3 linked regions of the Oreochromis niloticus genome follow. The protein of the gene in region 3 purifies or fractionates together with the protein of the main gene of each other region. This does not show direct contact. Links are inferred from orthologs where the notes say so. Each region holds a gene or a part of one and is shown on either strand. Other genes may lie near its edges. The genes, in order: erlin1, rnf170 and tmub1.

Region 1 (10,723 bases), on a different chromosome or scaffold from region 3:
TGAATTGTGATATGAAGCCATTTATTTAACTTTTAAAAATAAATAGTTTATCTTGATTATTTTTTTAAAACAAATGTCTCAGGTCCATGAATATCCCTCAGCTGTCTGAACATTAAGAGATTTAAACATCTAGTTAAATTAGTATATCTTTATGAGGTTCTTAACTGATGGAGCTGATGCATAAACTTTACATAAAAGTTAATTACAGGAAGTGAACAAACCTAGGTGGCAGTGTGCAGAATTATAATGAGATTTGGGTCTTTGTGAATGCTTTTTAGAAGCATGAAGGAAAATTCTTTCAATGTGGTGTCTAAATTAATGTGGTATTAACTAACTTTGTGTACTCTCTATGGTCTCAGTGAGGGAGACAAAGACACAGCTGCCACTGTCTGCTCTTAGAAAGGTGTGGGGTGAAGCGGTCAGCTACATCTGTGGACTGAAGGAGGACTACAATCGCCTGTTCCAAGGGCAGAGGGCTGCTATGTGAGTGCATAAAACACCATGCTTAAAAAATGCACTACTTTCAAGAAATTACCTGAACATTTGATAATCAGTAAATAAGTCAAATCAGTAAAACACTAAGTGGGTTACATCAGTTTGTCCAGTTGGGAAGCACACTGGACAAACTGTGAATCTGTTTCACCCTCTTTGGTGCAAATAAAAGTGACAACAGGAGCACTAAAAAGAGAAAAAGATCATCCCAAAAAGGGCCGGTTTAGCAGGTGGTGGCCAAAGACCATTGCTTTCTCCTTATCCCTCCTGACTGAGTTTTCTCTAGCTTTGCATTTTGCAAGTGTACTTGTCATTGATGTTAGCGTCAGGAAACCAAGAGATACCACAAGATATTGAGAACAATGAGTGCTGGAGAGGGCCTTAGAAGAACCTGATCTCATCTCAAGAGAACAGGGCACCACTTTTATTTGCACCAAAGCAGGTGAAATGGATTTGCAATGCTTTGTTTTATTCCTGAAGTTTAACTGACTTTGCTGTGATGAAGGAGTGCTCCCTTAATTATCTTTTTGAGCAGTGTGCATTCAGGTACTCAAATATTTTTAACATGTATGTGTCTACATAGGCTGAGTTTGCTACGCTTCAACACCAACTTAACGCGCTACAAGAACATGCTGTTCTCCCAGTCGCAGCAGCTCCAAGCCAAACTGTCTTTCTTTAAGACGAGCATCCAGCATGACCTTGAGCAGTACACCAAGCAGAGCAAGGCTGGAATCTGTGAGTGGATGCTACTGTCCTGTTACAACACTGTTAACTCATTACTGAAGTCTTAACTTGACTATATCTTGTTGTTGTGCTGTTGTTGTTATCTAAAGCTTCGGAAAAAATGCTGAAGAAATGGCATGAAAATGAAGAGAAAGCTGATGAATTTACAAAGGTGAGGCAGTTTTAAATTCAGTAATTCTTCACAAACTTTCTTTAAAGTTTAAAGACAGCTAAGAGTGTTTTGTTTTGTTTTTTTTCTGCAGGTTGCAGATGTGGGGTATCTGGATGAAGAGATAGTGGCTCTACATTCAGAGATTGTGGAGCTCCAAAGGAGTCCTTTTGCTAGGAGACAAGGGGATGTGATGGAGCAGCTGTGAGTATTTTTGTGGTACAAACTTATACTATAGCCCTCTCTTGTAACACCATAGTAAAGGTCCAGTGTAAGAACTGGATTATATTTTATATTTTATATTTATATCCTTTAAAAATAACTGCCGTATGCATGTGTTTATTCTGTCTACTTGTTTAGTGAGGAAAAGGCTATTGAACTCTACAAGCAACTTAAGGCTAAATGCAAAAGTAAGTACAAGTCATTACAAAAATAAAATAGCAGAAATAGGCACATGCTTTTTGCCAATTAGAGTGCAGGTAATTCTGATAAAGCTTCTAATAAACAAGTTACAAATTGTGCAAAAGGTCTTGTTGATCAATTGTATCATTTTGGTCTCAAATTTTTTTAGATTAAAAAAACAGAAGGTATGGTAGTTGTGCAGTATATCAGAATATTTTACGTACATGATTGTGTAAGTGTGTCTTCTGCAGGCTCTGACCCTCCACATGGCTACAGTGACAGCTCAGACATGGTAAAGACCATCCTTCAGACAGTTCAGAACCAGGACAGAGTGCTGAAAGACATGTACACCCACCTGAGGCAAGTTTAATTTTAACAAACACACACAAACATGTCAAGTTCAGCCCACCTGAAGCACAATTTTACAGTTCCCCGTGAGCCACGTGTGATTTTTTTCCATCTTTCTCTTTCTCTGTAGCACAATTCTGGTGTGTAAGCAGCGCATCATGGATTTGTTCCCTAAACTGGAGAAGGCGTTAAAAAACATAACAACTGCAGAAACAGTAGTGATGCAGATGCAAGTGTCGAGACAGAGAGAGTTCTGGTACCTTCTCAAGATTGCCTGTGTAAGCATTTAATAGTTGGCACAGCAGAAAATATTCTTGGGGATGAGCAGTGTTTAGGGAACATAAAGGTTTAAATATAGTCAAATGAGACTGTAGCTAATACAGAGTGTGATTGTGTTTTCAGGCCCAGAGCAGTTCTCCATCTCCGTCACTTACACAGCCTTCCACTGACAGGTAAGATCAGTTTAATATCTGAAAAATACTACTCAAGTTAACAGCTACAATAATCTGTCACACTGTTTTGAGCTTATCTCCCAAATGTAAGGATTTTATCTGTAGTTTAGAAGTTGAATTTTTGCACAAAACTGCCACTAGAGGTCACTCTCTGGTCTTTAAAAATCTCAGTTTGTAGGAAAAAAACCAGACTCCCAACCCTCCTTATAGTCTGTTTTTTCTTTCAGTGAAACAGTTCATCAGTTACTTGATGAAAATCAACGTTATCTGAGTCAGCTAACGTCTTTGCTGCAAGACGCCACCCAAGAGATGGAGCACAGTATTATGGTATGGCAAAGATGTGTTTTTATGTTCAGCTCATGTATATCAGCAGATTACCAAGTTGTTTTTTATTAGAGCACCAATTAACAGCTAAATATTGGAGATTGGCATAAAAGTACTGAGTGAATATGTTGCTTCTCTCTGCAGGATCAGGATTGGAGCTGGACTCAGTATGGAGCAATGAAAGTGAAGCCTCAGAAGCTCTAGAAACTCGCCAGATATCACACACTTTAAAAAGTGCTCTATCAGAGTCACACCCTGTGAAAGTTTTCTTATTCCGCACACTGTCCTTTACATTTATGTAGTGCTGTTGACTAGAATGTATGAAACAGCATGATGTGGTAAGCTACAGACATTTTAATTTGAAGTATATTTTTGAATGTTAAAAAAGATTTCCAGCTGTAGATACAAGATATTTATTTTACTGGCAATACTGACTAAAGGTAAAAACTGCTGCTGTGCATGATTGAATGTGAATAAATTTCTAGAAACGTATAGTACGTGTACAAGGTTTTGAATTTGTTCAAACAGTTTCTTTCTTACAGTATGTTTAGTTTCTATCTGCACGGGTGAAACTTTTTTACATTCACGCAGTGGAGCACACGAAATGCAGGTTTAAAATTCTCCTGGGATTTGCTGAAATCCAAACTGCAAGAATGCAGAAAAGACTAATGTAATATATAATGCAAGACCAGACAATAGTCTACTATACTTTATTTGTACTGACAGTAAAGGGAAACAGGAACAAGGCCTGAGATATGCCAAATTGCACAATAATTGGACCTTCCAATAATTTGGAAAAAACAGTAAATATCAGATGATCGCCCGTGAGTTAGCGCTTTGGCAATAGTGGGAAGGAAAAACTCCCTTTTACTCCCTCATTAGCTTCTGTTCTATGGGAAGCAGGGAAAGCTGTGATGAGAGGTAAAATAATTTATTTCTCATCACATAAAAAGAAAGAAGAAAACAAAAATATTCAGGAATTAGAAAAAACCATCAAATCCCTAGAAGAAGCCTACGTGTCCCACCAAGATCAGGAAACATTGAACAAAATACGCAAAACAAAACTAGAATTAAATGAGATAATTGATAAAAAAATAATGCACCTCTCTGGGGACATCTCAGGCCCTCCAAGGTATGGAGGCCTATCTCCCCCCACCACTTCTCCTGCCAGTGGCAGACGCCCTCAGACATCGGTGCGTTGGTGGTTCTTTGTGTCTGGGATGGGCGTCCAGGTACCCACCGGCTCACTTCTTGGTGGCTGCTTGTCGGGGCCTGGAGCCTGGGGCTCGCTCGGGCCACTTCGGGGGTGGGGTGCCCTCGGCCTCTCGGCCTGGGGCTCGGTCACTCTGACACAGCTGGCTGCCGGCGGAGCTCACGGGCACGTCACTGCAACCCCCCCTGGCTTCTGCTCCGCGGCTACTGAGTGACCCCTCATCTGGGACTCTCCTCAGCTCTTTCTGGGATGGTGGCGCGGCTGCCCCTCTGTTGGTCTTCCTTGGTCTCTTGTGTTTTGAGGGCCTCTGGATGTCTGGAGTCTTGATCTCCTCCATACCTGCTTCATGCCCTTGTGGATGGGGCTGTGGCCCCCCACACCCTCTAGCAGATCATCACATGAAGGAACCTTTTAAATACAAGCGCGCTCATGCTCACAGGTGTACACACGGGTACTCACACACACTAACTACACCCTTTTTGGCTCCTACCTCAAAGCACACTGTGTGCTGTCGATCTTACGTGCTGCACAATAATGTTTAATATTTAGTTTTTACTGTTACATTCCCATAGATCATCGTGATGTTGTTTATTATGTTGCTCTTTTTTTCTGCTTGTTTTCTCTTTTTTCTTTCTCAACAGGTGATCCAGGTGATTGATATATGTATTTTTTGTCTGCTTATTTTGTTGTTTTTTGTTTTTTGCCCTTTATCCCCATCCCTTTTCCCCGCTGTTTTTCTTTCCCTTTCTTTCTCCCCTTTCTTTTCCCCAGTCAAGTCTGTCCCATATTTAACAAGTGAAAATAAAATAAAATAAACAATAAAAGGTGAATCAAATAGACCATTATAGCAAGGCTGGGATGGTCCATTTGGTAAAGTAAATCCGTTGGGCATCTTTCTTCACCTTTAGACAATAATTCTGATGGCAAAAGAACCAAATGGGACAGGCAAAAAAAAAAAAAACAAGGAAAAACTCCCTTTTAACATGAAAAAGCTTGGCTGTGTGTTGCAACCGGTTTAGGGTGAGGGGACAGAAGAAACACTCTGTGCATCATGAGAGCCCCCAGCAGCCTAGGTCTGTTGCAGTGTAATTAAGGGAGGATTCAGGGCCACCTGATCCAGACCAAACTATATGCTTTATCAAAAAGGAAAGTTTTAAGCCTAATTGTAAAAGTAGTCAGGGTATTTGTCTCCTAAATCTAAACTTGGTGCTGGTTCCACAGAAGAAGGGCCTGACAGCTGAAGACTCTGTTACCAATTCTACTTTTAAAGACTCTGGTAACCACAAGCAAGCCCGCTGTCTAAGCACAAAGCACAACGTTAACATTATGGAAGCAGTGTGGGATTATCTTGACAGAGAGCAAATGCAGAACAAAAGCCAGCCAATATCCAAAGAAGATATTTGAATATGTTTTTATAGTATTCATACAAAATAAATGAAGTGAAAAGAACTTCCTTGGTCCACTGGTTTTTCTGGACATCTGTCAAAGACTGGCCATTGTTTTATAATATTGGTTTTGTAAAACATTGATATTCTTCCGAAGCCATTTGGGTCTTATATATCTGTATAAATATAAAGGTTTTATCAAGATTTTAAATAAAATAAATCGTTTGACAAATTCCACCCATTTACAATGTCACTTCTTTTATTTCCAACTGTCCTGAAGGCAGCATAATGCAGCGAGTCAAAGCAAGATTGAAACCTGTGGGAGGCGGGGAAAGGGGGGTGGGACGTTGAATGCTAAGACCAGAAGGGGAGACGGTTTGCTACAGCGGTAATTTTACATATTATAATCCTGTGGTTTACAGTACCTACTGAAACATTATTTGGTCGTAGTGCAAGACGATTTAAAAGCTTTGCTTCACGCTAGTAGCCTAGCAAGCTTGCGTTAGCATTAAGCTACACTGAAACAGTGCTTCACTTCCGATCCCACCCAGTGAGAGCTAGCCAGCCAGCCAGCTAGCTAGCTAGCTAACCCAACCCAGCCAGCTAGGGTAAACGTTACCAACCGAGTGGTGGGTAAGCCTTTGTTTTCTTTTTCAGAACTTATTTGTGTTAATGTTATAGCTAAATCAAAGGACCTGTAGCTTTGAAGCACATATGTTGCTTCATAAGTTGACTGAGGAGTTACTTGCTTGTTACCCTTCTCAAGTCTTTCTATCAGCTAATTGTGCCTGTCACCGTTAGATGTTTAAACTAAATACACGTGAAGTGTACTTTAACTAAGCGAAGTCGTTAATTGTTACTAATAGTGTTGCTATATGGTATCCATTGATTGCTGTTAAGGCAACTATCATAGGTATAAAGGTTTCCATGTTTGACCCTGGTGCACCTGTGTTAATAGCTGACCGTCTCACTGGTGAATATAAAAGGCGTATATATGAGAGTGTGTGTAACCAATGTGTAATGATTTACTTAAACTCTTACTTTCATTGCAATGGGGTGAAAAACAGGGTGCACGGAGCAGAAAAGCTAAGCCATATGGTGTGTTGACCATAAAATTACTGGATGTAAAGAGGCAAGTTTTATGGCACAGCTCATGCGTTACTGTTGGTTTACCCTAACAGTCTTGACTGCATGTATTGCTGTTTATAGTTACAGTTTCCATCTGATCACAGACGTGACGGTGCCCTGAGGGCTTAGTGTTGTATAAATATTTCAGCATTTTCCTTTTCTCTCTGCAGGTGAGTGCTAGTAAGGATGACGATGCCGCATGTAGGGGCAGTATTTGCAGCAATAGCAGGAGTGATGGCCATCATGTTGCACTCCTCTATTCACAAGATAGAAGAAGGACACCTCGCTGTGTACTACAGGTATGTCAGGCCTGATTCATCACACCTGTTTCTGATGAAAATGACAACTGTACTAAGAATGTGGGAGTGCTATTTGTAAGCGACCTGTTTCTAATAATGGTTATAAAGTTATATGTCTTCTTCTTTTTTCCACCCTCATTAAATATAATCAAAAGAAAATCAGATATTGGGAACTCTGGTGAAATAATTTGTATTTGTTTCAGAGGTGGGGCATTGCTGACTACTCCCAATGGTCCTGGATATCACATTATGCTGCCTTTCATTACCACCTACAGAGCAGTGCAGGTAAGCCTCTCTTTCCAGGCCTGAAACATGGCCTTTGAGCAAAGGCATTTGTAATGTAAGATTCAAACAGGAGGTGCCTGCGCTTTAAAACTAGAGTGGGATCTTCTATAAATAAGTCAGCTACAGCATGCAAACAGTTGTTATTCAACCATGGCTGCAGGGGCTCTGTTTTACACCAAGTAAATGTAGCATTTACATGCCAATACATATACAGTTGTGGGCAGAAGTTTGCATGCACTTGTGATGGGTATGAAACTCATGACAATTTTAGTTTTTTTCACTGATTTCTTTGAGGTGTTATTTTTCCGGGGTAGAATGATTGTGCACCCTACATCTTTAATGCCTTTAAGAAACAAGAATTGGGTGCACAGGTTTGAATTTATTTAGGATTTTCTCCAATCCACACTCTGTCAAAAGTAAACATAGAGGTGCAAATATATACATACAAAACCCCTCTAATATTTGTTTAAATGTCTTTTTACAAGTTGCACTTCAATCAGCGGCTTTAGATAGTCATCAGTAAGCTTCTGGCATAATTCTGTCTGGGTATTTGGCCACTGTTATTGGCAGAATTGGTAGAGTTCATTTAAATTGGTTGTTTTCTTGGCACAGACCAGGGTTTTAAGCATCATAGTTCATAAATTTTCATTTGTGCTTTGGGAGGGCACTTCCAGAAACTTGACGTTAGTCTGGTTTATCCAATCCAAAATCAGTTTTGAGATATTTTTGGGATTATTGTCCTGCTGGAACACCCAACTGTGTCCAAGTTTTAACCGTCTAGCTGTCAATTTTAAGTGAAGTTGAAGATTTTGGAAATGGTCCTCATGCGCTGTTATTTCGTCCACTTTGTGCAATGTACCAGTACCTCTGGCAGCAAAACAGCCTCAGACCATGCTACAGCCAACACCATGCTTAACAGCTGTTATAGTGTTCTTAGGTTTGAAAGCCTTATGTTTACTCCTCCAAGCATAAGTCTTGTCATTGTGGAAAAATAGCTCAATCTTTCTGTCACCTGACATAAAACTTTTCTCCAGAAGGCATTTGGCTCGTCATTGTTGGCAGCTGCAAAGTTGAGCTGGTTGGTTGGTTTTGAAACACAGGTTTCTTTCTTAGTTGCATGTTCTTAGTCTAGGGTGATATAAAACTCCCTTTACTGTGAACAGAGATGTTGATGTTCCAATAGCTCATGGCAGGCTTGAGCTTTAGTGGTTCCTGGCTTGTTCCTGAACATCCTAACAAATATCCTCTCATTTTAGGGTGATAGTTTGGGTCTTGTTCCAGACCTTGGCAAAGGTCTGGACTTGGTAGCATATCCAAGTAACTTGAAGATTTACGGTTGTTTTGGAAAACTACTGTTACATTTTATGAACGTTTACAATCAGAATCGTAAAAGAGTATCAGAGTAATATAGTAGAATATGCTTTACACATTGTATGCATTCAGCTTGTATTAACTTGAAACAACCATGCACTTCTTTATGTAATCTTGTATAGCTCCTAAATTATATAATGTAGTACAAAGTAGCATTGCACTCAATTTCAAATCTTAATAATGCACTCACAGGCCACTTTAATAGGTACCTTGCTAGTACCAGATTGGACCCAATTTTGCCTTCAGATCTGCTTCTCTGAAGCAAGTGCTGGAAACATTCCTCAGAGATTTTGGTTCATTATGGCATTAGACATTTGCTGCACATTTGTTGGCTACACATCCATTATATAAATCTCTCACTCAACCACATTCCAAAGGTGCTCCTTTGGACTGATATCTGGTGTCTGTGAAGGCGACTTGAGTACAGTGAACTGATTGTTATGTTTAAGAAACCAGTTTGAGATGATTTGACCTAGGGCTGTTCAATATAACGATATATATCGGATGACGATATAAAAACGTCTATCGTTTCATTTTACGCTATCGTTTGTTTCGTGGTGTCGCAAAATAAACTGTTTACGGCAATATTTTTTTCATTATTTTGATGGTCACTGTAGTGGCTATATTAATTTCCTAAAGTTTGTTTATTGCTTGTTTATTTTCCACATAAACCTTTCACAATAAAGCTCAAGATCCTGTTGAGACTTTTCAAAATAAACTGAATCACGTGAAAGATGCAGAGTATTTATGGACGAGAAGCAAAAAAGAGCCGTCAGGTGCTAAAAATAAACCTTAAACTCAAACGTTAGAACAGGCTTTTCCCCGCAGCACGCCGTGTAATAAATACTAACAAAGAAAACGGCGGCCGTTACAACTTATGTCTAAAAATATATAGTTTCATGCATCAGTTAAAACACTCGACTCCAGGTACGCGACGCCCAGCTGGAAACACTTCACGCAAGTCGAGCTGCCCGAGATTCACAGAATTTACAGAAAATGTTACATTTTTGTGATTTATATCGGACGATAGATGTCTTAATATCGGGATATGAGATTTTGGTCATATCTCACTGCCCTAATTTGACCTTTATGACATGTTGTGTTATCCTGCTCTAAGCAGCCATCAAAAGATGGGTACACTGCGATCATACAGAGATGACATTTAAGGCTGTGGCATTTGAATGATGAAGAACTCCTGCAAATCAGAAAAGATAGGGCGTGCTTGGAGTCGTATGGCCATAAGTATGAAATAGGCAGGATGGATCCATGATTTCAATTTTTGTGATCCTGTGCAAATTGTAGTCTTAGAGTCACTTAAATCACTTTTATTCCCAGTTCTGATGCTAAGTTTGAACTTCAGCTATGTTTAATAGCAGTTGAACCTGTTGTACCCTGGATTTTAGATGCTTAGTTTTAACAAATAGGAAAACACACAGATCACTTTTACTGATAACTATGTCACAATATGTTTTCAATTTTTGTTTCAGACTACACTCCAAACAGATGAGATCAAGAATGTGCCTTGTGGAACAAGGTGTGACTGAACTTCCTTATTTAGCTGTTAAAAAATTCATTCCCACGTTAAAATGAATATATATTTACCAGAATTTTTTTTCTTCACAGTGGAGGTGTGATGATCTATTTTGACAGGATAGAAGTTGTGAACATGCTCGTCCCCTCAGCAGGTGCAGCTTGTTTTTGTGAATTTCTTTCACTGCAAAACTTCCTTATTTTGTTGACTTATTAACCCTATTGGCATCCAAGTAATTGTTGCTTTTGTTCTGCTATATTCAGTGGTGGACATTGTGAGGAACTACACCGCTGATTACGACAAAACTCTAATATTCAACAAAATTCACCATGAACTCAACCAGTTCTGCAGCGTGCACACGCTACAGGAGGTTTACATTGAGTTGTTTGGTTAGTACATTTTGGTTGCATTTTACTACAATGCTGAAATTCCTGAAATTAGATCATACATTAGAACTTTTTCTTTTTTTTGTTTGCAGACATCATAGATGAGAATCTGAAGACTGCATTACAGAAAGATCTGAATGTTATGGCACCTGGACTTACAATACAGGTACCTAAACACACACATAACCTGCATGTTTTCAGTGACATTTTAGGGA
Region 2 (10,723 bases), on a different chromosome or scaffold from region 3:
GGGACATCCACTCCTGCGAAGATTGGCAACTGTCTTGAATATTTTTTCACATGTGAATCATTATTCTTGCTTTCAAATTATCCACACAGAATCAATCGACACGAAAATGTTGTTGTACATGTACAAAGACAATAAAGGACTATTCTGTTCTATTGTATTCTAAAAAAAAAAAAGAAAGTTGGAGCAGTGCTAACTACACACAAAAAAATCCCATTAAAAGCAACTAAGGATTCATAAAAGAAAACCACTTGATTTCTTCATGCAATTGTCATAACCCCATTTAATTTAGATGGAATCCCACTAACCCTGAGAAAACAAGTGTACATGATATCTTTGAAAATATGTTAATAGATTGTATGAGAGAAGCAGCATTTTTACACATTTCTGATATGCATTTTGGCATGTACACGAAGTCTGTGCACAAAGTGTCCCTTGCATGATGCTTCCAAAATAAAGATTACATCAAGGTGGGACTTCCAAAAAAAACTCTAAGATGTAGTTCACCTGGAGCATTACAACATATGCTGCTGTCTCTGGCTGTAGTTTAAACTGAAAGGGACACTAGTGGAGCAGTACTCAAGTATGACACATACTGGTATGTGGCACACCCTAAAACAAGACATTCCATGAGGTAGCTGCTGGTCTCCTTTTTTGGTAATCTAAATCTCTGAAATACAGTGAAACCTGCTCCTTTTACTTTGCCTACCATGACAAGCTTATCAAACATTGGCTTTAATCCCCAGAAACCAAATAGCCTGGATTCATTGCTCAAAAAGCAACCATGGGTGCACAGTAGCTTTGAGGGAAAAGGCAGATAAAGAAGTCTCTTTATCTCTGGCTCCACTAGACAACACTACCTATTTAAGTAATCACAACTAAAAAAAAAAAAAAAAAAAAAAAGTAAAAGAAGTTGAGGTGGAGATATTTACTGTGCACCAGTCAAAATTTCAAGCTAGATTTACACTTGAACAGTTTGGTAATCCCCCATTTATTTACATCCTCAGTAAAACACATTTTGTATAGAACATTAATTTAATTTGAACATAAATAAGACTTCAATACATTTCAAAATCTGACAGATTGAGAGACTCTGACGTTCTGAAAAGCTCTGTAGTGCATGAAGCTGAACTGACGCTGACAAACTGATTAAGATCCTGAAATGTGAAGAAAAAAAGAATCCTCAAAATAATCTTTAAACATTGAAATATGATGACATTAACAATGATGACTTGAGTGAGCTGATGTTTCTTTCTTTTCTTGAAAAACAAAGTCATCTCTAACTGAGAAGTCATCATCAGACTGGTTGGTGTTGTTCACTATATTTTCACGTGGGTAAGCCCAGCAAAGTTCGAAGCATGTTAGAATGGATGAATAAATCTAGACGTTTCCAGGTAAAACACTTGAGTGATTTTGACACAAACATTGGTTTCAAGTCATGGTTATGCATAGTTACAGATCACTGAAATATGGGCATAACTATAAGTGAATAAAGCAGGCTCTAATAATCCCATTAACAGGGTTCTTGTAACACACCTTTGCTTGTCAACTGACAATCCAAAATTAGACTGTTGACTTTAAATCCATTTAATAAAGACATTACACTTTTACATGATTGTCTCCATAATGATGACATCCACATTAATCAAATCCCCGTTCATGGCACTGTTGACTATTTAGTTAAGGGTGTAAACTGATGGGCAAGAAAGACTTTCCTGACTGACCTCAGTGCCTGACTCCAAGTAGATTTTTACATCGCATCCTTATATTCTGCTTCTGTTGGTATTGACTCATATGACCTTAGAATCTTGAATGGTAAATTCTATATACAGAGTCAATATTGAGAGTACTTTTTTTGCTAACCCATCTCCTGTGATAAAATAACATCCAAGGCTTCAGAGAGAGAGAGAGAGAGAGAAAAAATCTGTATTATCGACTAACTGCTCTCTGAACATTTATTCCGTTTTTTGCACGTCCTCAGATGTTGACTTCACTCTTCCCGAGGCTCATATGAGCAGGCCAAGGCCTAGCCGTTCAGTCTCTGTGTGACCACCTCTCTGTACATGATAGAGATGTACACAAAGAGAAGTAGGATTACAAAGAAATCGTCCATGAATCCCAGAAGACCAAAGAGCGCTTCGGGGAGGATGTCGAGCGGAGAGGCCAGGTAGGTGATTGCCCCAATGAGGCAGAGAAGAATTCGAATCCTGAACATCCAGAAGAGGCCACCCACAGTAAACATCTCTCTAAAGGCGTGACGAAGCAGAGTGGGCACATCCCGCAGCCTGTCCATAAACTGAGGTAAACCACAGAAACAGAAACAAAGTTGTCAATAATAACTCACGTTTATCTCATTTACGGTAGTATCATATCGGCCATTTCAATGGTCAATGGTCAATGGTAACTTTATTGTCCCTAACGGGAAATTGATTTGCAGTATGTCCGTACAAACAAACAAACAGACAACCAACACATCACATACATGGATGGCTGCTAATTTTAAATCCCTCTCTTTCGCATGTCTCCCATGATAGAGTTGTATAGAGAGCAAACATCCACTTCTTGACAACTTTCCCAACTTTTGTATCAAGAATATAACTGTTGTTGGGTTTCAGACTATGACTCACGGAGACAAAGAAGGAGTTATACAGTGGAAAATCCACAGCACCCAAGACCAAAGGAGACAGATCAGGTCATGATCAGGTGAGCACCCTCTTTTCTTTTTTCTTTTTCAATATATAAGCATATTCTAGGTTGTACAGAATGAATATTCAAACTTAAAGCCCCAATCTAAATAAATATCACTGTGAAATACTCACCGATCTCGGCTGTCCGGAAAACCTGCGGTTGTAATCATTGATATCTCTTAATATTAGTTGAGGTTCAGCTTCCCCATCCTGCACCCTCTGAGGACTGGCGTGCTCATGAAAGAGTGGAAAGAGCAACGTTACCTGGAATTAAAAGAAAAGAAAAAATATAAAGATATTTTTAAGAACGATTTATTTATTTATTTATTTTTTTAAGAGGCATAGATAACAGTTTTCCCCCAAATTTGCTATGTATAGTTTTGGGGGGTTTTTTGTTTGGTTTTTTATGTACTCATTTATAGTTATATTGGCCAGTTGATATTATAAATCAACTGGGTGGTAATATATATGTATATGTATATGCAGTGCATGACAGGTCACACAGCACCGCACGGACTGACACATCACTTATTCCATTTAACACTCATTTCCAACAACTGTGGCAATAGCTAAATGCCTAACAGAAAACCATTGAGGTATTTTTGTGCATTCAAAGATATGAATACAGAACAGCTGGCAACTTATGAATATCTCTAGTGTGCATTTTAACAAGTACTGAAAGACTCACCATTTGTCTGCAGATGGGGCAGTTAATAGCTCCCAGCCAGGTGCCGTACCTCCAGTAGGCTATGATGCAGGAGCCTGTGTAAGAACACAGGATATGGCACATGAGTAAAACTAAAGCACAAAACAATAGCTATTAGCTAAAAAATAAATACATAAATGTTATATTTACTCCAAATTATGTTTTCCTTGACGTGCATATTTTCAAATAATGTCGACATTTGTAGCAATTTTGTACTTTTTGTACTACTTTTTTAGTACAAAAAGTACAATTAGCAATTAAAAGAATAATCTCACCGCAGAAAAGGTGTCCACAATTGGTTTCCACAGGCAGAACAGCCTGCTGTAAACATACAGGACATGACATGTCTGTGTAATACTGCTGCCTGGCTTCAGCCTGGGGATTTTCATCCTGCAAAATGAAATCAAAAGCATACAAATTTAAAAGTTTAGCACATTTGTTATAACAGAGCGCACAATTTTGAGAGTCATTCCCTCCAAATGAACAATAAACATTATAAACCATTTACTAGCTGTAAAAGAATATGAATATTTATCTATATCAGCCCTTTTGCAACTTCCTGTTGTGACTTGACAATTTAAACCTTTTCAGTTCCTTCTTCTGGACTTTTGCCAGTTCTAGAGCCAAAACTAATTGCTTCTTTTAAATTTCAGAGATATAAATATAAATTTTAGAGGTTGCTTTCTTAAGATAAAATAGAAATTAAACACCAACAAAATAATATTTTTAGTAAAGGATGACATCCCCCAAATGAAAATATAATCCTCAAGACTCTGCTTTTCTGAGTTTGAAATGTTCAGGTGATGTTTGGCCTTTTTGCAAAGCCTTGAGTCGTTAATGTTCAAACAAGAATTCAAACCACGCAAAGGATTCCAAGTAATACCTAGGGCTAAAAAGGCTGGAGCTGCGCTTGCATCTTTACCTGCTCGGTCTGGAGCTGTTGTCGGACGGCTCTTACGTGCTCCTGATTCTCAGGATGAATATTTTGCTGCTCTTGTCTGCAAATGTCAAAAGATGATTTGGCAATCAGATGTTTGTCAGCGTAAACTATGAAACAGAGCGTGACAATGCAATGCAATGCAATACGAGTAGCCCTAAAGTGCAATATTCTACATGATTACAACCCTCAGATATATGCATATATTATCAGTCCTGAACACCTGTCATCCAAAGAAAAAGAAAACAGCACTTTCTTTTTATTAAGCAATCAATTGCTTACCTGCAGAGGAGAGTGAGGAGGCCTGCAAGGAAGGCGACACTGAGCACCACCACAAATAAGACCTGGTTGCTGACACCTTCAATGAGAGTGTCCTCATCTTGGATCAAGTAATCCAAGTCCCCATGCTGACCGTCCTCCATCACCCACACTCATAGCCTACAACTCTGGAAAACAGAGGGGGAGAAAAAAAGAGATCACTAATTATAATTTTAAATGTTAGTAAAAGCTATATAATTTAACGGACTATAAGGTTCCACTAATGTATTCCCAAGTCTGTGAATGCCACAAATCTGTGGGTTTACGGGATTAAGCTGCGAACTTAAAGGCTTGTTTTTAAGTGACCTGTTAGCAATAGCAGCGAGAAGTCCATTCTTACCAAAACGTTACAAAACTAGGTTAGCGACACTTTGGTTACTTGTCCCTGCATGTAGCATTCTTCCGTTCACTGTGTTGCTATTATCAGCTAGCAACGCCCGCTTGCCAAGTTTAGCGCTGGCGTAGATTAGCTTTTAACACATTAATGAGCACAGCTACTGCTGGTAATGACAGTGTGTGGCTTTTGGAAGCTCCTCCACCACAGACAGCCCTGTAGTTATTTATATACCAGTGAAAGAAGGACAGCTTCTCTCTTTAAGTCTGAGCTTTACGGGACATTTATCGCCCCCAAATCAGTCGCATAACGACCCTTTCACGACAGGCTTAGCAGGGCCGCCTTAAGTTCTAGCTGAAGAGTGTGGCACACAGCATAATGAAGCTAAGACTGTTTACGTAACGTGCAAAGTAATTTGAAACGTTTTGCAGGACGGACTATGATGAAAGAGCTCACCTGATAATAAGAAGTCCACCTCCACTCGGTAAGCTCTTTCCAAAAGCTTCACCTGTCCGCTCCATCCACTCTATCGAGACATTTCCCCCCAGTTATGACAGATTTTAGAGGCTCAGTCAAATTAGGAGACCAGAAGCAATCGCTTGCGTGTTGTTGCTCTTGCTTGGCATACCGATGATACCGTTTCGGTTTGCAACTACTTCCTTTCCTTCTTATTCTCTTAGAGGTATGCAGGTTAGAAGCTACGACTACAGAATGCTGCCCCCTAGTGTTTGTTAATGACGTTATTTTTGTACTTTATCCTTATCCCATCAGTTTTTTTATTTTCTTTTACATAAATTAAACATGGTATACACAGAGAGAGTAATTTCTGAAATTGTTTAACTGCTCAGAAAAATAGTTTTAGCTTTTCAATTTATGCATTGTCTCACATTTATTTAACTTAATTATTTATGAGAGACTTATATTCTGTCTCTACTGACGTAAATGTCTTACCTTAAATAGAAAGACGTCTTCATATAGTGTATAACTTTCCTATTAGATTTCTTAGTACATGGCATAATAATGATCCAAGCGATGAATTGTTAACCACGCTTTGACCAATAGGTGGCAGAAGTGCTAATACAATGTAGATGTTTCTTACAAGAAGACGAAGAAGAAAAAGAAGCAGAAGAAGAAGCACAAGGGCCACCACCGCCAGTGCATCAATATTACTAACAGTTCTACGAAGCTACTTTTGGCGACAAAAAGGACCCAATTTTACACAGCTCTCTTTAACTGAGGCACAATGCCTCGTTATGCACAGCTAGTGATGGGTCCTGCGGGTAGCGGTAAGGTAAGTTATCACCCATTCAGTTAAACTTGTTGAAATACCTTGTTGTGCTATTTGGCTAATGCTAAGGCATGAGGTTGTCTTGTGTTCAACACAGACTGCATCTGCTTTTTGTTTACTGGAGTTCACTTTCATTTCAGAGTACCTACTGCTCCACCATGGTCCAGCATTCAGAGACCTTAAACCGTTCAGTTCAGGTGGTCAATCTGGACCCAGCAGCTGAGCACTTTGATTACCCTGTCATGGCAGGTAAATACAGCATGGTTTTAGTTTATATGACATAGTAGTGTCCATAGAATAGAGGAGGATACGATTAACCCTGATAAATGGCTTTTAATTAGGCTCTAACGTTAATTTTTGCTTTAGTATTTAGCATATAGGAGTTATTTTACACGACCCACATGGTAACTTTATTATGTTTCGGTGCTCTCAGACATCCGTGAGCTTATTCAGGTGGATGACGTGATGGAGGACGATTCTTTAAGATTTGGCCCAAACGGAGGTCTGGTTTTCTGCATGGAGTACTTCGCAAACAACTTTGATTGGCTGGAGGAAAGCCTGGGTCACGTGGAAGATGACTACATATTGTTTGACTGCCCAGGTAAATGTTTCAAAGAGGGTATGCTGAAGCCAGTCTTCCATTGGCTTCAGCACAGTGCACTTGTTTGTGCTGGGGTGTGGATGGGATTCAACATATCCTGAGCACTGTTATTTGTTAATTTTGTTTAAATCACCGAAATAGATTTACACTCATGGCCACTTACCCTCAAAATTACCTTAATTCCTTATGGCATACATTCAACACAGTGAATTCCTTATAGACTTTGGACCATACTGACATGATAGCATCACACAGTTGCTGCATATTTGTCAGTTTGTTTGAAATGCCAAAACGTTGATTTTGTCCATCTGAGACTGAAGAAGGCACTTGGATGAGTGATATAATGTTTCTCCCACTGAAAGTGCTACGGTTTTGATGGACAGAATCAATGTTTTGGGATTTCATTACCTGGATGATTGAGCATGCAGCGAGACATAGTTTGAGATGATTTGAGCTTTGTAGCATGACAAATTATCCTACTGGAAGCAACAGTCAGAAGATGGGTTTACTGTGGTCATAAGGTAGTCAGCAGCAATACTCAGGTAGGCTGTGGGGTTTAAATTATGTTTTCTTGAACCATTGCAAATTATAGCCTCAGTTTCCTGTTCATAGTTGACAGTAGTGGCACCTGGCGTGGTGTTCTGCTGCTGTAGCCTATCTGATTCAAGGTTCAGCATGTTGCGCATTCAGAGATGTTCTTCTGTAAACCTAGGTTGTAATGGATTTGAGTTACTCTTGCCGTCATATTAGCTTTAAACAGTCTGGTCTTTCTCCTTCTCGCTCTTTTTTTCTGGACTGTTGTATGTAAACCCTATGGATGGTTGTTGATGGCTGTTTGGGGAAAATCCCAGCAGATCAGTTTCAGAAATGCTCAGACCATCGATAACCATACCATATTCCCCTTTTCTGATGCTTGCTTTAAACTTCAGCATATTGGCCATGTCTGTATGCTTAAATGTAGTTGAGTTGCTGCCATTAGAGAGTAACAAACCTATTGAATTGGCAGGTGAGTGCATATTTCATTATTCCAGTCTTGGAACAAGGTATGTTATCATTGGAAAAGTGGTTGTCCGTGTGTGCCTCATAGAACTGGTGTGAAGCGTGGCTTCTCTTTACAGGGCAGATTGAGCTGTACACACACCTCCCTGTAATGAAGCAGCTGGTGGAGCAGCTCCAGCAGTGGGAGTTTCGGGTTTGTGGAGTTTTCCTTGTTGACTCACAGTTCATGGTGGAGTCTTTTAAGGTAACAGTCTCACAGTGTCTTCCTCTGATTTATTTTATTTTCCTTTTTTAACTTCATTTCTGTACAAACACACACATAATGTAATAGTGACAGCACACCTTTTACTTGTCTCCTACTGTAGTTTATCTCTGGAGTCATGGCTGCCCTCAGTGCTATGGTGTCATTAGAGATTCCTCAGGTAAACATCATGACAAAAATGGATCTGCTTAGCCCCAAAGCAAAGAAGGAGATTGAAAAGTAAGTTTCATATGAATTGACAATGTTAAGTGCCCACAAAAACAGTAATTCCCTTTGTCGTCTGTACTAGGACTAGATTAAAGTTTTCTTTTCGTGTTATTCAAAACCTGAACATGTTTGAAGAGACAATTCTTAGTTTTAATTTACTTACATTTTTATGCATTGCATTTTTTCACAAGATACCTGGACCCAGACATGTACTCAATGATGGAAGACGGCTCCAACACAATCAGAAGCAAAAAGTTCAAGAAGCTAACCAAAGCTATTTGTGGTCTTGTAAGTAGAGGCCTTGATTTGGTACTGCATCACGTTTATGATCAGATTGATATTTTTATTAATATATTTGTCTGTTTTTAATGAGACAGTATCTGTTTGTGTATCTAGATTGATGACTACAGTATAGTAAGATTCCTCCCTTTTGACCGCACTGATGAAGAAGGTATTAACATAGTACTGCAACACATTGACTTCTCAATACAGTATGGAGAGGACCTGGAGTTTAAGGAGCCAAAGGTGAAGAAACAGCACAACCCACCAACCCCAGTTAAACAGAACTTTAAAAAAATATGTATATATATAATATGATGCATTATATACCTTTTCATGATCAACCAGTTTTTTTTTCTGTACCTTCTTTTCCTACAGGAGGTTGAGGAAGAGCCTGCTAACCTAAATTATGATGAGATTTTTCAAGACAAAGTGAACAGCTAAGGCGCAGTATGGCCAGTCCTGCAAATACAGACTTTGTGTAGCAAGACTGGCAAAGGAGTTCCATCGGACTGTTTGTTGTAGCTGCATGGATACTGAGAAATGGACACGTGAAGAAGATTGTGGATATCATGAATAGTGTTTCATGTATTTTAAAGGTGTTTTTTTTGTTTGTTTTGTTTTGATGATAATGAAACTATTCATTTAAAAGTATATTTTAAAACAGTGGTTTGATGCATTTAAATGCTTAGCAGTTATTAAAAATATTGCTATTATATTTTTTTTGAATAAAATGCAACGCAAAATACACGTTTTGCCGCCCGTGTGATGTGAAGTGTTTATTTAGCGCCCCCGGCTGGTTGATACGCCACATGACACGTGGCCACTTCCTGTAGCCGAAGGGTGGGACAGCACGGAAGCAGTATCTTGCAAGTGTTGGAATATTTCTGTCGCTGAGCAGTTGGACTGATATTTATCATTCAACATGCCGGTGAGTAAAAAAAATAAGAAGAAACACACTATTATTGACGAGCAGAGAACTTTACTGCTAGGTTTAGAGCAAAAATATTGCGCTGAAATCCCACTGAGTAGGAAAAAAGAGGCCTCCGAGTTAACGTTAGCATAGTTCGCTAATTACTTAAGCATTTGGGTCGCAATTTAACGATGTTTGACATGTCAGAAAGCGCAAATTCGCATTCGATGCTTTTTTGCAAATGCCTTTTAGCACGTTGCCTATACGTCTTATTATTATTTGGTTCTACGATAACATAACCATTAAACCAGGCTAGCATAGTAGCAATGATGCTATCTGGCAGAAATGTTCCCAGAGAAATCAGGTGACAGCAACTTTTTCTTTTAATATTTTTCAGGCGTATCACTCAAACCTGATGGCCCCCGAAACCAGGCTGGTGGGGAACATGGCTTTGCTCCCCGTCAAAACTCAGTTTAAAGGACCAGCCAGAGGAGACGGTAAGGCTGTGCGATGTCTTTTACTTGTGTCAAAATGTCGATAATGTCCTTTAAATAACGCATATCAATTGTAGTGAAGTCTTTAGTAGTGTTTTTTGATTTGGTCAAGTCATTTTAGGCAGTGGGTTGTATCTTGTTATGACCCCTACTTTATTTCCTGATGCATGCATCAGATACACTTCCTTATATGGTGTAAAGAGCTCATCCTCAACTTCTAACTTCTTCATTAGAGTCTATGAGCACTTCTGTAATAAAACGGTGTATTTTCTAGTGTCTGATCCACCTAAAGGTTCATTTAACTCTTCCATGGTGTTGTGGGTTTGACAGATTCAGTGCTATTGAATAATGAAGCTATTATATTTTGTGATTGGGTGATTCTAGTTGTTTGTTAGCAGCTCATAAATCAAGAATGGAGCTCTGCTGGTAACAAAAAAGGCCTGCATGGCCAAAACGGGAAATGACACTTTAACAGTGACACATACACATGCACAAATACTGAATTTAGAGCCATACATTTGTTGATTTCTTCTTCTTTGCTTTTTTAAAAAAAATTTTAGGCGTAGATTCTGATATTATTGACGAGGCTATCTACTACTTCAAGGCCAATGTTTTCTTTAAGAACTATGAAATCAAGGTAAGCAATTCATTAATATTTGCACTGTTTTGATTGCATGTGTTCCATGTTTAAGGAGACCAAA
Region 3 (10,723 bases):
GGCGTGTGCCCCGCGGCCGAACGTTACACAAAAACATGTTCAGGTACGTTTTCACTAAAATTGCCAAAATAGTCGTCTGTGAGGACGAAGGTGCACACGGGCGTAAAGATGCAAACATGCAGCTTCAGGCAAACCCAAGGTCTGCCCCCCCCCGTCACATCTGAGCGCTCACTGGAAGCACTTTCACGCTCATTCCAAGTGTCATCAACTTCCTGCAGTCGCTGCCAGCCACTTCCTGTGTGGACGCTGCTTTAGCAGAGTTCACGCAGGCCTACATGAACTGACAGGCGAGTACCTGAACACCTGACAGGCGCTAACAGCAGGTCGGCACTTACCTGGTTCAGTCTTGACCCTGGTGCTCTGAGCCGTGGAGACGCTGCTGCTGCCGTTCATCCTGCAGTGACCGACGGAGGAGGCTCCGCCCCTCCCTCTGAAACACAAAATCAAACAGGTTTACTGCAGCAGGAAGTGCTCACGTGACCATCAGTACGGCTCGGCTCGTGTACTTCCTGTTTCTGCCTGTGTGGGGCAGCACCGAGTCCAACAACACCTGATCCAATGCGCTGTTCCGGCTCCACAGGGGGCGCTCTCGAGCTCATCCTTTAGCCGAGTGAAACCAGCCCGACTGCTGGAAACGGGCGCCGTGACAGAGGACGCCCTGTCATAAATCACTGAAGGACCAATCAGCGCGCAGTAGCAGCATGTAGGTGTTTTAAATCAATGTCAGGTGAGAAAGGCTGCAGGACCAAAGGGGGCTGGATTTAATGTGACCATGTTTTTACGGCGCCCCCTGCTGACCTGCGCAGCGTTTTGGCACGTTTGGCTCTCCATAGCTCAGAGGAGGCTGGCTGCTTTCAGTGGCAGGTCACTCTCCTGTGAGAAGCTAGAAGTAAGTGGAGCGTGAGTCACTGAGCAGAATATGTCGCCTGATCACCTGACACGTCACCTGATCCCTGCTGCCCCACTGTAGGCTAACAGTGACACGTTGAAGGTCAGTGACATCACCTGTTACTGTGTAGAATGTACCAGGTGTATTTATAGAGGATGACAGCTGGCCATCACCACACTTTAACACCTTCATCCTCTCACTGCCCAATCAGCTTGCAGCTCACACCATGGCGGCCCAACAGTGTGTGAACTTCCTGAAGGCTTCTTTTCATTTACAGAAATCAATCTGAGCGTGCTCAGAAACGAGATTCTGCACACGCAGTGAGGATGCTCCACGTGCAGAAAGGCTCCAGAGCGCCACCTTCAGTGATAGAAACGTCAATGCACACTGAGCTCTGTGTATGAACTTTGGGTCGTTCCTAAAGCCACGCCCCCACACCTGGGCACCTTCACCTTTAGTCAGATTCATCTGAAGATGCAGCTGTGCTTCGGAGTTCACGTGTCTGTGGCACCATGGCGAATTTTGATCCTTCGCCACTGGACAAAAATGATGATTGAGGGGTCTGTAGCTACCTGCACAGGTGTGATCAGAGTGCACACCCACTCACAGTCACAGCAGCAGCTACGGGGCACAGAATAGCCAATCAGAATGTTTCACTTGCAGCAGCTTCACTGTGAGGGTGCCCACCTGTGTGCACCACAGCCATTGTTTGAATGACCTCACACTGACGTGCACCTCAACTGTTCTCACCTGGCTGAGCATTAAACTCACGTGACATCACCACACCAGTGTAACCACAGAGGTAACCGGAAACAGTGTGTTTGGTGACATTGCTGATGATCGATTCTCAGACAGGAGCTGATCTCTCACACACACAGGTCCCGGTGCCGTTCTGCAGACGGTCCCCGGGTTCTGGGTCCGGACGGCCGGGGAGCTGGGCTCGGGCCCGGTAAGGTCTCCGGGCCGCCAGCTTCCAGCTGCCCGGTAATGGCGTCCATCCTCCGGCAGGAGTCAGCACGTAGCTTCCGCTGGCACGAACCGCAGAACCGAGCGCGAAGGTTTCCCGGTGAAACGTGTCGGAGCGACGCGGAGACCAAACCGGAACAAACCGGATGAAACCGGATAAAAGATCCGAGCGAAAGTCTCCGGACGGCACACGTGGAGCGTTTAAGGGCTTTAATCCGACAAAATGATGACACGTAAAAAGGTCGAGGTCGAGTCTACCCGCGGTGCAGGATCACCAGAACCCCCGAGCCCCCCGAACCCTTTACCCGCAGAACCAGAGCTTTGTGCGGGCGGGACGGGCTGCAGCTGCCCCACAAGCCTCCGCTGCAAAGCCGCCATGAATGTTGTGGCGACTCGGGGACGAGCGAGCCGAAAAACCCAGAAATGCGTTTAAAATCGGAACCTGGCGTTTACCTGCTGGTTCGGACAGAAAGCCGGGGTGATACTGCACGGCACCGTGCCGGTTCGGCTGCTTTCGGGACCGTGGAAGTGTGGTTTTTTCAGCCGTAAACCCCGGGGAGTCAGGTCGAAACGAATCCGACAAAAGGAGCGTCTAGTCCGGTATGAAACTCCGCCCAGCGCCGCAGGGGGAGGAACTCCGGGGGAAAACATGAGGACAAAGGCGGAGGATGAAACCAGAGACAGCGGCCACAGCGGCAGCCAGCCCCGCTGGAGCCGCCGCACACGCACTCTTTAACGGACGCTATTTTACATTTACGCCGTTTTCACTCAAACCCAACTGCGACTGCGTACTCCGAGCCCTCTCTGGGTCCAGATGCTGAACAGGCGGGAGGCCCGGGGACCGCCGGCAGAGATGCGGCCGGGGGCCCGCGGAGCACAGCGGATGCTCTGGGAGGAAGCCGAAGGGGCTCCCTCCACCGCCCGGCGCGATGCTGATCGGGGGCTGAGAGGCGGCAGAGGAGCCCGCTAAGAGCAGCGGAGTCCCCGTGATCAGTGAGGTCATCATCTGACTCCGCACCTGCCGCAGGTGGGGTGAGGTGTTTCTGCTGTTTGTCCTAATAAAGTTTGTTATTTAGAATAAAAACAGCCTTTATTTTGAGTTCTTGTGACTTTAATTCTGGAGTAAACTCGGAGGACCCTGCCACCTGAGGTGAGGACAGGTGCACTGGGCCTCACCTGTGGGACCCTCAGAGGTCTGAGCTGGGGTCCGGGTTCTGGTGGACTTCGGAGCCCTCACAAACACAGCCAGTGGCCCCTGAGCGCCACTGCTGCCCCCTGCTGCCCGGATGTTCAGCACGTTAAAGGGAAAGTGTTGGGGTAATGACATCATCCAGACTAACAGCGCGTGCAGCAGCTTCTCTAACAATGAAAGGTCAGGCTGTGCACGTGGACACCCCAGGATGAGCCACCAATCAGCTGATCAGGTTTCTGCAGCTGTCAGAGCCCCAACATGCTGAAGAGGAAACACTGCAGATGATCGATCGGTTCACTGACCGATCAACTGATTGATTGAGCGGACCCACAAAGTTGAAACTCACATATTTCACAGGACTTTGTGCAGAATTTACACTCACAGCCACTTTATTAGGTACACCTCCTCCTGAAACGCTCACTGGGGTCTGGACACACCAGTCTCCTAAATCATCATTCTGACGCTTCATTTGAACCTCAGCAGCTCCTCTTCATCACTTTGCTGCTACCCTGTGATTGGCTGGTCAGATATCTGAGTTGAACAGGTGCACCTAATAAAGTGACTGTAAATAAAATGAGTGCATTATATTCATGCATTTTAATATATGTTTGTATTTAGAGTGTTTGAACATGTTTCTGTGGGTGAAGTGAACCTCATGCTGTAAAATCTGCTGGTCTGCTCACACACAAACACACACAGGCACTCCTAAAGCTTAATCACCAACAGCTTCATGCTCTTATTTTGAAAAGTCGCAGCAGGTCATGGTCAGGGTTCCTTCTCAGTACCTCAGGCTGTCACACACCAGCTTCACACAGGTGATGCTGATTGGATAATCTGGCTCGGTTGAGCACCAGTCAGACTTCCTGTGTGTCAGCTGTCGTTCCTGGTCGTTCCTGGCCACGAGTACACATAATCCACACTCTCTGTTGGAAGCTGTAAACCTGCAGTAATGATTTATTATGGTCCCCTTTCTTCTTCTGCTGTCTGATCTGCTGTTACAGAGGGCTTTAGTCTAATATGTCACTTTTCGTTTTGTTTCATTTATTAAAAACTTTATTTGGATCTGATCTCGAACACGTTTCTTCTTCTTTACTTTTTGTTCTGTACCATTTGAAACTGTTACACTCTGCTTGTTTCTTTTGTCTGGTTACGTCATAAGGAGACGCTACGGTAATCGCGACCAGCAGGTGTACGCATGCGCAACCTCCACTGGGGGGGCGATGGTTTTACGAAACCAAAGAAAAAACAGGAGAAACGAGAAGCACAGGAACAGGAGAGAGGAGACAGCTATATCCTGACTCAGATTTGGGCATGCTGGTTTGAATAGCACATTGTTTTTAATGAGAAAGCACTGCACAGGGGAGTGTGACTGCAACAGAGAAGAAGAAACAATAGGACATGTTTTAGTGCATTGTCAGAAATATGATGCTCGGTGAGATGAAAGTGAAACTGGACTTGGCTGATTTATTTCGTAAGAACTGGAGAAGTGATCAGGTCATATTTTGTTTTTTAAGGCAGACTCGTTTGTTTGGGAGGATTTGATTCATTTTTGACATTCAGTTCACACTCCACACCAGTGGGTGGCGGTAATGCACCATTTTGCTGTTTGCCAACCGCCAATAAGCAATATAGAGAAGAAGAAGCCTCCGCTGGGTCCGCCGCGGAGCACAGCAGTAGAAGAAGCGGCAGCAGGAAGTGATGCAGCTGTTAGCCTGCAGGCTAACGCGGAGGACATGAAGCTCCTGGACTGAACGTGAGTGACCGTCGTCTCCTCTCTCCTCGCGCCTCTGCGCAGACTCAGACTGTGGGTCAGAGGCTCCCTGGGAGCGGGAGCTGTTAGCGCGTATCTTAGCGCAGCGGGTAGCTGTTAGCGCGGACTTTAGCGGGACTGGCGGAGCTGATCCAGGTGAGCCCGGGTGGCTCAAATGCCCGGATCTTCCGGTGAAACGCGACCAACAACTGGTGACGTGACGAGGCCGCGGAAAGAGGTGAGCAAATACCTGAGCAGAGGGCGTCAAAAATACACTTGATTAACAACCGGATCAATCATGGATCGATACCTGCTGACGGCACACAGGAAACCGGAAGTTAGCGTTGTATGGGGACAAGTGTAAGGGCTTTTCATCCCGCTGGTTGGACAGCCACGCAGGAAGTGACGTGCGATCCGCCAGGGGAGCTTTTACCTCTGAGTGTGTTTCCCCAAGATAGAGTCCCAGAGGTCACCCTGTGGTGTGTGTGTGTGTGTGTGTGTGTGCGCGTGCGTGTGCGTGTGCGTGTGCGTGTGTGTGTGTGTGTGTGTGTGTGTGTGTGCGTGTGTGTGTGTGTGTGTGCGTGTGTGTGTAGAGCGGGGACAGGACGCTTGCTCTGATTGGACTTTACTGGGCCCAGGTGTAACGTAGAGGCGGAACTTTGAGGTTTACTGGGATTTTATCGTTACCATATTCTGACAAACGTACAGATGATCTGCATCTGCAGGTCACGACCTCACAGCTGATCAGTTTGTGTTTTATCAAATGAGATAAGGTGATTTTACTAAAACCCGCCGTACCTGTCCGATGTCGTCTGATGGCGATTACATGGATCCAGTTTGGGAGCCGTCGATAACCTCCCATCAGGCGACACTGTGAGGTTCAGCTTCCGGCAGCTACAGGTGTCCTGCAGATGTTCGGACGTTGGTTTCCCTCGTGTGTCTGAGCCGTCAGCTCGCTATGAGTTAGGAAGTAACTCTATCGACCTGAGAGAGGAGCTCACCTGCTCGTAGTACTCTCACAGTATTGTATTTATCACCACACAGTACTGCGATACTGTCGTGTGACGTTGGAGCTCCGTCTGTGGGACACCTGCCCCTAAAGGGGCGTTTTCTTTCTTTCCCTATTTCATAAAAAGCTTCAGTCATGCTGGAGTGAAAGGACAGGTGAGGGGTTCTCAGGTAAACAAGAAGTGTGTGTATATACCTGAAGCTAAGCTCTGCCCTCTCCCTACAGGTGTGTGAGCTGTGCTGACCTTGGCGGCGATGGCGCTGATCGAAGGTGTCGGCGATGAGGTGACGTTGCTGTTCGCCACTCTGCTGCTGCTGACAGTTCTGCTGCTCGCCTGGATCTCCACCCGCACATCCGAGCCCCCTGAACACCTGTTCACAGGCTCCTCCCCTTTACAGAGGCCCGGGCAAACCCAGCAGGACACGCCCTTTTCATCCACCGCCACCTCCTCGTCCCCCTACCCACCATCCTCACCCTCCACCTTCTCCATGTCCTCGTCCTCACCTTCCTCCTCTGTGAACGACAGCTTCCTGACAGAGGCTCCCACCACACTGGAGGATGGACAGGTGGGAGGAGACGGGGTGAGGCGCAGAGGAGGAGACGGAGAGGCCGCGGTGTCTCAGCGGAACATGGTGGTCAGACTCAAGTTCCTCAACGACACAGAGAGGACGGCGCAGGTCCAACCACAGGACACCGTCGGGTACATTAAGAGGTACGAGTGCTGCATGTAATACTCCATACACTACACTACTGCATAGTAGAGGAGGAGTTTCGGCAAACCTGAAGCTCCTCCTCCCGGCTGTGCCCCCGGACCCGTTTGCTGACCTCTGACCTCTGACCCTGCAGGACCTACTTTGCGGGGCAGGAGCATCAGGTGCGTCTCATCTATCAGGGCCAGCTGCTGCAGGACGACGCGCGGACGCTCGCCTCGCTGAACCTCGCCCATAACTGCGTGCTGCACTGCCACATCTCGCAGCACGCGGCGCGGGGGGCGGCAGGGGGCCAGCGGGCGGGAGACCAGGTGCGCGTGGCGCTGAACGTGGGCAGCCTGATGGTCCCGCTGCTCGTGCTCATGCTCTCCGTGCTGTGGTACTGTCAGATCCAGTATCGCCAGTTCTTCACCGCCCCCGCCACCGCCTCGCTGGTCGGGGTCACCATCCTCCTCAGCCTGGTGGCCTTTGGCGTCTACCGCCGCTAGCCTCCCATGGGCCGGCAGCGGGAAGAGACGCTACCTGCAGTTATTGTTTGTTTCTGTTGCCATGGAGACGCAGTGAGGACAGAGACTCTTATCATTAGATCACACGTTTATCTTCATCATCAGCGTGCCTCTTTGATTTCTGTGGGAGGCACAGACACACCTGTCTGCCTCACCTGTCTGTGTGTGTGTGTGTGTGTGTGTGTGTGTGTGTGTGTGTGAGAGAGAGAGAGAGAGAGTTTCAGCTTTTGGAGAAAATCTATTAAACCTTTAATTTATCCCGTGGTGTCTGAGTGTGTGTGTCACACCTGTACAGGTGATTCTGAGGGTGGAGCTGCTGCAGTCACATGGCTGGTTGGCATCACCTGATTGGCTGGGCGGTCAGCGTTGGGGAGTACAGATTTTTCCCTAGCGACAGGTTGTTGCTAAGCACTCTCTAACCATCCAGGATCAGCTGATAATGGAGTCCATTTCCAGGGTGAAGATTTTATGGGCTCTTATGTTTGACCTTTGACCCTCTGTGTAGCAGGAAGTGTGTAATGTTACAAAATAAAGTTGGATACAAAAAGCTCAGAATGAAAGAAGTCATGTGACGACCTCAGACTGTTTCTGTAATGTGATTGGTCAGAGCTGCTGCTTTGACATGTTCACAGGTCACGGCTCCGTAAATCAAGATCCTGACGACTTGAACCAAAGTCGCGAGGAGACGACTACGAAAGAACCTCCAAACTGTCAAAGTTGTCGAGATCACGTAAGCGGCACGAACTTCTCAAATACAACATGTCGAAGAAGACGGAGAGGTGCGCAGTGTGGCCCAAAGTAAGGAGCAGGAAGACCAACTCTGACTGACCATCAGGTTATCAGGTCATTATCAAACCTACAAGCAAATATTAGAAATTCAGCTCCAACTTGAATTTACTGTCAAAAACGTCAGCCAGAGATCAATAAGTGAAGAAATAACAGCAGTGAAGATGCGCGTTTCTAAAATATAAAATACACCAATTGTTGTAATAAACCTGAGCCCACTCACAATGACAGACACAAAGTATGAAACTTGATGAGTTACAGAGCTCATCAGGTCTGGAGTTAGGAGGAGGAGGAGAACAACGTGTTCCTGTGCACCGGTCCAAACAGCTGATGGTTGGTGGTGTAGGAACGCCACCTGCACAGCTCGAGATTCTTGACTGATTTCTTCTTCAAGCATGTGGCCGATCGTGTTCCTACAGTAGACTTCAGAGACACGTGTGAAGATCAAATAACAACCACAGAAGCTGATGCAGTGATCGGACGTCCTTCTAACAGAGGCCGGGCACGAGATTTCTACAAACGTTTCTGGGAACATGTCAATGGCCTTTTACATCGAGTATTGGCAGGAATGTTTCAGACTTCCACTCTGCCGCCCACAATGAGACCCAGACTTATCGCCTCAATTCCAAAGCCCAACGAGGACCCTAAGAAACTCCAAATGTCTTCACTGCTCGTCTTTAGATAGTTCTGTCATGTCTCATTTCAGAAACACAGGTTTCTTCACAGGAGGATCGGTTCACAGTGACAGAAGAGCGGTGCTGGATACAGAAAGCTGATAAAGACGATGGATTGTTACAAAGCCTTCGACTCAGCCTTGATAAAGTCCTTGAACACTTTGCTTTTGGAGTTAAATTCAGAAACGTGATTTGTGTTTGTACCACATTATTAGCAGTTGTGTCATTGTACCCGATGGTCCCAGCCCTAGCTTTAAAGCTAATGCTGGAATTCCTCTTTCTCCATATGGCTTCATATTGGTCACCAAGATGTTGGCGATTCATCTTCAAAAGTTCAATAACATAAAGAAATTAAATGTTTTAGCCACAGATATTATCACAAGTCAGCAGATGACACAGCAACATTTAAAAGATAAACTCCAAGATCCACTAACTATTGAAAAATTGCTGTCCAGGCATCTGCACTACTACTATTATCATTATTATTATCATCATCTGGTTTAACATTAAATGTTAGAATATGTGAAGTCCTTGCTGTACCTGATGCACCAGAAAAAGATGTTTGTAACATTCCTGTTAACTCCAAAATGAGATATTTGGGAATCTCACAAAGGAACAAAAACTAAATCAGTGGTTGAATGTGGAGAACAAACTGAAGGAAACGAGGCCAAACTGAGCTCGTGGCTTCAAAGAGATCGATCCATCGTGGGCAGAATTTATCCAACAAATATGGAAAGTTTATCCAGATGTATCTTCCTGACATGCTGCCATTCCAGACAAATGAACAAACGCATCAGCCTCATTGCATGAAAAACGCCTGTTTGATCAAAGATGGTAAAAATGAAGGTTTGAAAGCCGCAGACGTCCACGGCCTGAAAAGGACTTAAAAATAAACTAACATCAAAGATGATGATCCTGGTACTCTGGACCAAACGATTTATTCAGTGGACTGAACTTTCTCCTTATCACACACTCCTATCTGTGAAAACCTCCGTGAAACAGCTGCAGCTGTGACACTTGACGCTGACGCCACAGCTTCATAGGTCAGAGTTCAAATATACGCTGGAGCTCGCTCATCTGAGCACCGCACACAGGTGAGATCGTACCTGACCAGCGCCTGGTGTGCCCGAGCTTCAACGTTCACCTTCGTCACAGAGCCGCACACACAGATGAACACGGGCCTTTTACTTTGATTGGCTCGACCTCGGGTCACTTTCACCTGAGACAGCAACAATAACATCAAACACCTGCACAGGTAAGCAGCAGGTCTGCAGGTGGAGTTCTGGAAGGCCAAGTGTGCGCATCAACACTGAAACACACGGACACACCATGGATACAGCTGATCACATGACCTCTACAGTTTACAGGGTAACTGATCAGATATCAATAACAGTGATGTCACCCCATCAATATGAGCTGATGGAGGCTCTTTCTTCCTCTCCTGAATGACTTTCTGTAGATTGTTTACCTGATGGACACAAACAAGCTCACCTTCAGCTGTGCAGCCAGATGTTGGGCTGCAGCTGCACGTCTGCAGCTTCCAGCAGCAGGACGGTCTCTGTGAGGGGGAGGGGTGAGGAAGACGAGGAACCTTCGCTCAGCTGCCTGCTGCAGACTGCCACCAAACACACAGACCAGGCTTTTACTTTGAAAGGTTTGGCGGACTGACTCGTCTGTTAGGGGGCGTGTTCTGCTTCAGTCACACCTGCCGCAGGCTCAGACGCGCGTGTCTGTTAGTGACATCATTGGACGCTGAGAAGACGTTTACATTCGTGTGATGTGGCGCTTCAGAATGAATCGGGTTCACTTCCTGTGAGCAGATGATGGACAGCAGAGAGTCTCCAGGTGACTCACCTGTGTGCTGAGTCTGTCCAGTGCCTTGATTTGAAACAGACACGCACGGCTGTACACCTGGCCAATGAACAGGTCTGGACAGGTGAGCCTTTGCCTGTCTCCGGAAGGCCTTCAGGGTGGGTGGAGTCACAGTGGGCTTCGGCTCCTTGGGTCCCAGCTGTCGGCCGTATGTAAAGAACTCCTGAAACACCAACCTTCTGTTGCTCCACCATAGCTGAGAATATGTGTCGAGCCCCGCCTTCAGAAGCTCCGCCTCTTCTTTCACCTGTGTCATGTGATCACCTCCTGTTCCAGCACAGAGAGCTCTGGATTCTGCTGCAGAGACACCTGCAGAGGCAAGTACAGGTGAGCCGCGCAGAAAGGGAGAGACAAGTGAGAGAACAGGTG

The links.
Region 1: the proteins of tmub1 (region 3) and erlin1 purify together in Homo sapiens (affinity purification with mass spectrometry; 3 studies listed by BioGRID and IntAct, with this or other methods). This does not show direct contact. The link is inferred for Oreochromis niloticus from reciprocal best matches to the Homo sapiens genes TMUB1 and ERLIN1.
Region 2: the proteins of tmub1 (region 3) and rnf170 purify together in Homo sapiens (affinity purification with mass spectrometry; 3 studies listed by BioGRID and IntAct, with this or other methods). This does not show direct contact. The link is inferred for Oreochromis niloticus from reciprocal best matches to the Homo sapiens genes TMUB1 and RNF170.

What each region holds. Positions count from the first base shown.
Region 1 is NC_031978.2:19,358,827-19,369,549, reverse strand, and holds the start of erlin1 (erlin-1), read left to right. Parts: upstream 1-5,781; 5' UTR 5,782-5,896; exon of another isoform or gene 5,897-6,141; intron 6,142-6,806; 5' UTR 6,807-6,822; coding exon 6,823-6,935; intron 6,936-7,138; coding exon 7,139-7,220; intron 7,221-10,078; coding exon 10,079-10,125; intron 10,126-10,214; coding exon 10,215-10,276; intron 10,277-10,385; coding exon 10,386-10,511; intron 10,512-10,600; coding exon 10,601-10,674; intron 10,675-10,723. Other genes in the region: inhibitor of nuclear factor kappa-B kinase subunit alpha, read left to right, coding at 360-483, 1,076-1,227, 1,326-1,387, 1,479-1,588, 1,745-1,794, 2,038-2,146, 2,265-2,412, 2,537-2,586 and 2 more. UniProt on the Homo sapiens protein: Component of the ERLIN1/ERLIN2 complex which mediates the endoplasmic reticulum-associated degradation (ERAD) of inositol 1,4,5-trisphosphate receptors (IP3Rs).
Region 2 is NC_031972.2:24,337,837-24,348,559, forward strand, and holds rnf170 (E3 ubiquitin-protein ligase RNF170), read right to left. Parts: upstream 5,664-10,723; 5' UTR 5,436-5,663; intron 4,774-5,435; 5' UTR 4,750-4,773; coding exon 4,610-4,749; intron 4,389-4,609; coding exon 4,313-4,388; intron 3,781-4,312; coding exon 3,666-3,780; intron 3,447-3,665; coding exon 3,373-3,446; intron 2,949-3,372; coding exon 2,817-2,948; intron 2,294-2,816; coding exon 2,024-2,293; 3' UTR 970-2,023; downstream 1-969. Other genes in the region: gpn3 (GPN-loop GTPase 3), read left to right, coding at 6,223-6,270, 6,408-6,516, 6,701-6,868, 7,987-8,111, 8,233-8,348, 8,528-8,624, 8,733-8,861, 8,994-9,059; arpc3 (actin-related protein 2/3 complex subunit 3), read left to right, coding at 9,541-9,546, 9,926-10,025, 10,583-10,659. UniProt on the Homo sapiens protein: E3 ubiquitin-protein ligase that plays an essential role in stimulus-induced inositol 1,4,5-trisphosphate receptor type 1 (ITPR1) ubiquitination and degradation via the endoplasmic reticulum-associated degradation (ERAD) pathway.
Region 3 is NC_031982.2:34,493,518-34,504,240, reverse strand, and holds tmub1 (transmembrane and ubiquitin-like domain-containing protein 1), read left to right. Parts: upstream 1-4,649; 5' UTR 4,650-4,800; exon of another isoform or gene 4,801-5,035; intron 5,036-6,031; 5' UTR 6,032-6,060; coding exon 6,061-6,518; intron 6,519-6,652; coding exon 6,653-7,004; 3' UTR 7,005-7,585; downstream 7,586-10,723. Other genes in the region: ubtfl (upstream binding transcription factor, like), read right to left, coding at 336-393. UniProt on the Homo sapiens protein: Involved in sterol-regulated ubiquitination and degradation of HMG-CoA reductase HMGCR. Involved in positive regulation of AMPA-selective glutamate receptor GRIA2 recycling to the cell surface.